Linked DNA regions of Saccharomyces cerevisiae S288C. The gene in region 1 interacts genetically with each later gene. Each region holds a gene or a part of one and is shown in the gene's direction. Other genes may lie near its edges. The genes, in order: RTS2 and HSU1.

Region 1 (3,378 bases):
CTAGAGTGAATTATTATATCACCCTTACGAATGTGAAATTGCTTTTTCGTGAAGTCTTCGGTATTATGAATCTTAACAAGAACCTCTAAAATGTCAGGGTTCAAACCGACTGATATATTATTTTTTGTGTTAGTCTCCAGTATTTGTTTTGAATTCTTCATTCTTGAAACTATACCATAGTAATGAAAATCTTCATATTGTGTATGAATTTCAATTGTCTGGCCTGATTGAATATATCCGCTGTTGATCAAGACTTTGAGTGACACGTAATTTATCTCCGCTATCGGTTGAAGAACAGAAGATTGCAGTATTGTGCCTACAAATGGCTCTTCCAAAGTTGTTTCTATTTTGTTCATATTATGCTCTACCAATAGATATAGTTGCGAAAAAAATGTCGGACCTTCATACCATTCGGGAACATAATTTATAGAGTCAAATTCTGACTTATACTTAGATTTTGTGATGTTTTCAGTTTTATTCAAATTCGAACCTAATAAACCCGAACACGGGATAAATTGGAATTCTGCGTCTGTCCACTGAAAGTTTTCCTTCAACACATAATTTAGCTCAGACTGAATCATTTCTAGTCGGTGCTTATCCCAACTAATTAGATCTGCCTTATTCAAAAGAATTATCAAGTGCTTTTTGCATGCGGAATTCTTGTTCAAATAAGAGATCACTTTTAAAATTTCATAAATCTGATTATTTGGACCATCTAATGATTTTTCCCACGAGTCATAATTGCAATCAATAACCAATACATAAACTTCAGGATCAAAGGTCAAAATTGAGTTCAGAGTTTCTTTATTGAAGTATTTGATACTACCAGGAGTGTCTATAAGCGTCAAGGTTGATGATGGCGGTAGTAAATCATTTTCTACCTGAATAACTTTCTTAAACATGGAAAATCCATTTTCTCTTTCTGTTTTGGTATTGTCTAGAATGACCTTAAAACTATTTGAAGATGAAGGATCCAAATTACTGCTTTTTTTTTGTAGTTCCCTCATTGATGACATAGAAATTTCGTTTAGATCATATAAAAGATGACCAAGCAAAGTGGATTTGCCTGCGTTTGTATCACCGAGGAACAAACATGTCAAATTCAGAGGATGGGTGGCAATGAATGAATGAATATCAATCGACTCAGTAGGTGGTGTTTGAAGGTTAATTGGTTCCTTTTTTTCGGCCTTGGGCACAGATTTGATATTTAAGTTTTCTAATTTTTCATTGAAAGCATTAAGTTGGGCCGATTGTATTATATCATCAGGACTTGGTCTATTGAAATTCTCAATGGCTACTTTACGAGTTGTTTTCGGCAGGTTACAAGGCACAAAAATACCAAGGAGCTCATTGTTATGCTTTTTTAAGGACAGAAATGATGAATTCTGCGACGATAGCGGTATTGATGTACTCAACGAGTTTTTTTTATCTTTTATGATAAAGTTTGTGAACGCAAAATCGTCGGTTTGATTTATGCATGGATCGTTTTTCAAGAAACAGTAATGGTTCATTTCTTTAATAGCCTTCCATGACTCTTCTAAGTTGAGTTTATCATCAGGCGATTTCCTTTTGGTAGGGAGTTCGTTTTCTTTGCTGTCTAATGTCACTGATTTTCCTTGTTTCTCCAAATCACTATTTGACTTCTTTAAGGCAGACAACTTTAAACTCAATGAAACACTATGCTGGTTCGGGGTAAAGTCGCTTCTTTTTACCTTGTCTTTTGCAAGTAGCGTCTTCAGATCCTTCCTTTTTGTCTCAGCATTGTTATCTTTAGTTTCTCTATTCTTATGTAGTCTTTCTAGTAAGGATGCACTTTTCGATGTACTATGAGACTGGTCCGCACTTAAAAGGCCTTTAGATTTTTCTATTCTTTTTCTTGCTAATTGCTCTAATAACGACATGTCAGGTGGTACTGTAAGTTTCGAAGACCACCTCCTCGTACGTGTATTGTAGAAGGGTCTCTAGGTTTATACCTCCAATCTGTTATAGTACATATTATAGTACACCAATGTAAATCTGGTCCGGGTTACACAACACTTTGTCCTGTACTTTGAAAACTGGAAAAACTCCGCTAGTTGAAATTAATATCAAATGGAAAAGTCAGTATCATCATTCTTTTCTTGACAAGTCCTAAAAAGAGCGAAAACACAGGGTTGTTTGATTGTAGAAAATCACAGCGATGGCAGATTATGATAGTGCGAAATATTGGTCCAAGCAGGGAGCTCGTCGTGGGTTACAGAAAACCCGTTACTACTGCCAAATATGCCAAAGGCAATGTAAAGATGCAAACGGATTTCAATCACATAACAAATCGCCATCTCATTTAAGGAAGATTAGTCAAGTGACAGCTGAGGACGCTAGGCGCTACAATATCCAGTTTGAAAAGGGATTTCTACAGTTATTGAAGCAGCGGCACGGAGAAAAATGGATTGATGCTAACAAAGTATACAACGAGTATGTTCAAGATCGCGATCATGTACATATGAATGCCACCATGCATCGTTCTTTGACGCAGTTTGTCCGGTACCTAGGCCGCGCGGGCAAGGTAGACGTGGATATGGATATTGATGATACATCTGAGAACGTTGAAGGTCCTTTGCTTATCAGGATCCATCCCTCATCTTTATCATCACCTTCTGAAGATGGAATGCTGCGAAGTCAACAAGAGGAGCAAGAAGTCATAGCCGCCGAGCTTTTGAAAAGACAACTCAATCGTGCTAAGCGACAAACTGAAAAGGTATATCAACCAGAGATGAAATCGGAAATTAGCGGGGATAGCACTCTGAAACGTGTTCAAGTCACCTTCCACGGGAATGGTCGGGTAAATAAAAAGAAAAAGAAGGTTCCTCCACGGAAAGATGGTATCAAGTTCCGTTGATTGAAAATTTTTCTTTTCAAGCGATGAGGTTAGCGAAGTTGTTCGAACAAGCCCAAATATGTTTAGAAGGCAGTACGAATTGATACCCTGAACTGTTACTACCCGTATACACGTATTAAGTAAGACAATGAGTAATGGACACGTCAAGTTTGATGCCGATGAAAGTCAAGCCAGCGCAAGTGCTGTCACGGATAGACAAGATGATGTGCTGGTAATATCAAAAAAGGACAAGGAAGTGCATTCAAGTAGTGATGAGGAAAGTGATGATGATGATGCTCCACAAGAAGAAGGGCTTCACTCTGGGAAAAGTGAGGTAGAATCACAGATCACTCAGAGGGAGGAGGCTATAAGGCTGGAACAATCACAATTGCGGTCCAAGAGAAGGAAGCAAAATGAATTATACGCCAAGCAAAAGAAATCAGTGAATGAGACAGAGGTCACTGATGAAGTAATTGCGGAGCTTCCTGAGGAATTGCTAAAAAATATAGATCAGAAGGACG
Region 2 (4,319 bases), on another chromosome or scaffold:
TTATCATTTTTTGTTTCATCTTTTCACCTCCATTGTAAATCAGGAAACCTCTGCCATTCATGTATCCTTTGTAGGTACTTTATATAGAGCACCAAGTTTCTATCCTTTAGCAGGAAGCACATTATTAATCATTTGAGACGTAAACGAATGAATTAGTAAGCAGTGAAAGAAATTCGAGCACTAAGCGCGACCTAAGGGAACGGACACGGAACGGAGAAACTGAAGTATCAAATACTTCCATTTGATCAAACCACTTGTATCCACTCCCTGTTTTGCACACGGTAGTAGAAGGTCTTTTGAATATTTACTGTAAATACCGATTTCTATGTCCTTCTTGTCCGATTATAGGATTCGGGTCATTTCCAGCGCCTACTTTCCTTCTTGATTTCAAAATGTGTGGTTAACGTACTCCCAATTGCACTACTGTTCCTACAGTTCACGCGCACCTCTTTCTGATGAAAATGCAGCTGCATTAATCTGCGATCTATTGGCATCTCGCTCTTGTATCTGCCCTCCATTCGTGAAATTTTACTCTATTACCATCTTTGATCATTTTTTTGTCGCAAATGTGATACGGCATCCATCGAATTTTGCTCGTAATTGTTTGCCATTATCGCCCTTTTCATTCCGTATTATTCATCCACTCCGCTTCATAATGGGTTCCAAAAAAAGAACTATTGTACGAGCTTTTAGACTCACGAAAACATTACTTGAACAATAATTAGCGCCTGCAGAACTTGACATAATAAAATTCCATTTTCGATATCTAGCTGTCTGAAGATATGATATCTAAGTAATACGGGAAAGTTTCCGCTATTATTCTCTGTTGCAAGCTCACGTGAAAATGTGGATTCGCGAGTGGGGTGTAAGTGAGGATTGCCAAGCCTTTTGTTCGAAAACTTCTGCAGGAAGCGTTGTGTTGCAAGGATGATGCAGCATGAAATATGTGTTTTCTTTTTTTCGAGGTTCACTCCTACAGGTGATTCCTTCGAGAAATTCTGCAACCCATTGTGATATGATGCCTGGCCGAAAGATTTCTTCATTTCTTCGGAGCAGGTTCGGCCCGAAATCCTCATGATCGAGCCGAATGCCAAGAAGTAAAACACCAGGATGACTAACCAGTTATTATCATGTGTATACAGTACTTTGGTACCTTTATCAAGAAGTATACTAAAATATACCAACACCACACACATGCACATGGTAGCTGAGCGAACAGTTTCGAGATTTCAGCATTAATTTCATCTAATAAGACTTTCCGTCTGCTTTCAAGATCAACGTGCTGAACATTTTTACTCTGCTTTCATAATACTCCCATTTTAGGCTTTGATTCAAAAGCCCACTCAATGCAATACCTAAAATGATATCCTTCAAAGATATGTTTAATGAATATGCAGCCACAGCTTTGAATTCAGATTGACCTTGTGTTGCATTAAGTCAGACACCTCTAGATTTGTGTGGCTGCTCTCAAGAAAGGATGTTGAAGAAGATTTATTTACGGAAGAAATAACTGTATACGGCATTTTATTCTTTCTTAAACGAGCAAATTAAAGAATAGACGGATAGAGACTGGAGCTTTAGCATGTGTTCCGAGAAGTCCTTGACACGCGCCACGGTTGTTATGCCGCACACTACAATGATGTGTTTGAAAAAGTATATTAATGCCTATTGTCAAGATGCAATTCATCAATTCCAGCATTGAGTGATTCTTCTCTGGTGCGGTAAAACATAAATTTTAAATCTAGTACTCAACCACCACTGAACAACTATTAATCATCGTGGAAATTATTATGACGGAAATTGAATTTGGGCAACCCCTTCCCAGCAATCTAGACTATGCTGTTTCTTTTGGCATTCCTACATGGGATTCGGCAATAGGCTATGCGGAAAAGGTGCCAGAGGTAATAGGCAAAATGGCTACAGGATATCCGAGGTACTTTCCTCAACCCCCCGTCCAGAGGCTTTGTGCTTACTTTGTTAAGAAATTTGGGCGAGGTTCAGAAAACTGTCGTCCTTTTCCATCCGTTAACCTGGGTTTAAAGTGTTTCGAGTACGTAAAATCTGTCTCAGGACCTGAAAGTAAAGCTCACCTTGAAGTGGAAACAGTTACGATTAAAAACCGTGGGGCAAAAACGTCGAAAGAACCGGCGGAATTGGTGCTAACCATTGCTGCTGTCCTTGCATCGGAGGAAGAGTTCGAGACTGTGAAAGAGTATTGGAAATTAAGAGGTGAATGTGTATCTAGTCGATTGGCGTTGTCTGTCAACCAACTTCTTGACTGCGCTAATCATGGCTCAGAGCAGGTATTGCGTGAGCTAGAGGCTGGTGTTTTTGCAGCAAAGAAGGGGGAGGAGAAAGCAAAGAACCTGATAAAGGGAAGGATAGTTGAGAATCGCTTCAGGCCCTTTGGTTTGGAGAAGAAAACCCCGAATTGGGAGGGACTCAACCTCAACCCAAATGAAGACGTTTATCTTGTATCAAGTGGCATGTCTGCAATATCTACGGCTCGTAATTTACTCACCTTTTGGGAGGAGAAGAAGAATTCAGGAGATTCATTAAACAAGACCACCTCTGACCAAAAGAAAAAGCCATTATTATGTGACACTGTTGGCATCTTCGGCTTCCCTTTCAAAGATACGCAGGTCATTATGACTAAATTTGGAAAATGTAAATTTTTTGGATTTGGAAATTCTAGAGACGTTGTCGAATTACAAAAGTTTTTAGAAACAAGCAAACAACGCATTCTTGCCGTTTTCGTCGAGACACCTTCAAATCCTCTGCTGAATATGCCGGATTTGAAAAAATTGAGGAGTTTGGCCGACCAGTATGGCTTTTTTATTGTAATTGATGATACTATTGGGGGCCTTAACGTTGACATCTTGCCCTATGCTGATATAGTCAGCACGTCCCTGACTAAGCTTTTCAATGGTGCTAGTAATGTAATGGGCGGCTCTGTCGTTTTAAATCCGAAATCATCTCTGTATCCATATGCTCGTGAGTACTTCAGGAGCGCTAATTTCGAGGATTTGTTATGGTGTGAAGATGCGATAGTTTTAGAACGTAATTCCAGGGATTTTGAAGATAGAACTTTACGTGCTAATGCAAACACAGGAATATTGTTGAATGATTTGCTTTTACCCGAGGAGGGGAAAATATGCAAAAAGATTTATTATCCAACTGTTACTTCTAAGGAGACCTTTGAGAACTACGAAAGTGTACGTAATGAACGTGGTGGCTATGGATGCTTGTTCTCTGTAGCCTTTTTCAATGAGGGCGATGCAAAAGCATTCTATGACTCTTTAAAGGTATTCAAGGGACCTTCTAATGGTACTAACTTTACCTTAGCATGTCCATATGTCCATCTGGCGCACCACTCAGAATTAGAAGAAGTTTCCAAGTTTGGGGCCGACCCCAACATTATTAGAGTAAGCGTAGGTTTAGAAGATATCCAGTGGTTATTGAAAGTTTTTTCAAGTGCTTTAGATGTTGTGAAAAGCAGAGGCTCCAAACACTCATGAAGCAGATCATGAGTAGAATATCAAAAATCAAGAATTCTTTATAATCTTTATAGAATATTGTTTATAAAAGTTTTTTTCCATTCTAGCATATAATTTTTTTGGAGGAAGTCTTTTCTGGAACCTTCACATGGATCTTAATTAATGAAAGTAGACAGAGCTCATAAGATCACTAGTTGTTTATAAACTGAAGATGTTCCTTCTTATTGACTTCAACATTATATCGCTCTGAATTAGTTGATCTGTAACTTCAGAGTTTCTTTACCAGAATAAAAGCGTCACAGTTTTTCTTTAGTTTATATGTACACAGGTTGGGGTTTACTATAAACTATAAAAAAGAAGTGTTGTCGCCGCTATTTTAAGGTTTATACACAATTTTAACCAAAAAAAAGAATAAGTTGAGCAACGTTGGAACTGCCTCTGCAACGAATTCCGGCTATATACAACCTGCATCTTTGAAATTCAAATATCCAAAGTTAATGAAGAAGGATAATAATTTTCATCATTCAAAAACTTTAGATCTTCCACGGGCCTTTCCGCTTGTGGAGTAATCCTGAACGCATGTCTGTGAATTGGTTCTTCCCAATCAATCACTGCTGAATGTTGAACTCTGCGGTTATCCCAAATGACGACGGAATGAGGTTCCCATTTGGCTCTTAACTGTAAATCATGGCTGCTCTCCACTAGATTGTACAAGAAATTCAAAAGTGATTCAGATTCTTGTCTTTTCAATTCGACTATTTTCCTAGAAAATGCACGATTGACATACAAGCATTTCTTTTTCAAGACAGGATGAACTCTGAC

Evidence for each region.
Region 2: mutations in RTS2 (region 1) and HSU1 together harm fitness more than expected from each alone (negative genetic interaction), as found in Saccharomyces cerevisiae (one large-scale study listed by BioGRID).

What each region holds. Positions count from the first base shown.
Region 1 is NC_001147.6:469,720-473,097, forward strand, and holds RTS2 (Rts2p), read left to right. Parts: upstream 1-2,179; coding exon 2,180-2,878; downstream 2,879-3,378. Other genes in the region: SKI7 (Ski7p), read right to left, coding at 1-1,901; BUD21 (Bud21p), read left to right, coding at 3,006-3,378.
Region 2 is NC_001144.5:21,779-26,097, forward strand, and holds HSU1 (cystathionine gamma-synthase), read left to right. Parts: upstream 1-1,790; coding exon 1,791-3,518; downstream 3,519-4,319. Other genes in the region: glutathione transferase GTT2, read right to left, coding at 1-61; JLP1 (sulfonate dioxygenase), read right to left, coding at 3,978-4,319. UniProt on the Saccharomyces cerevisiae protein: Plays a role in inorganic sulfur assimilation during sulfur-limited conditions; catalyzes the conversion of O-acetyl-L-homoserine (OAH) into homocysteine in the methionine biosynthesis pathway.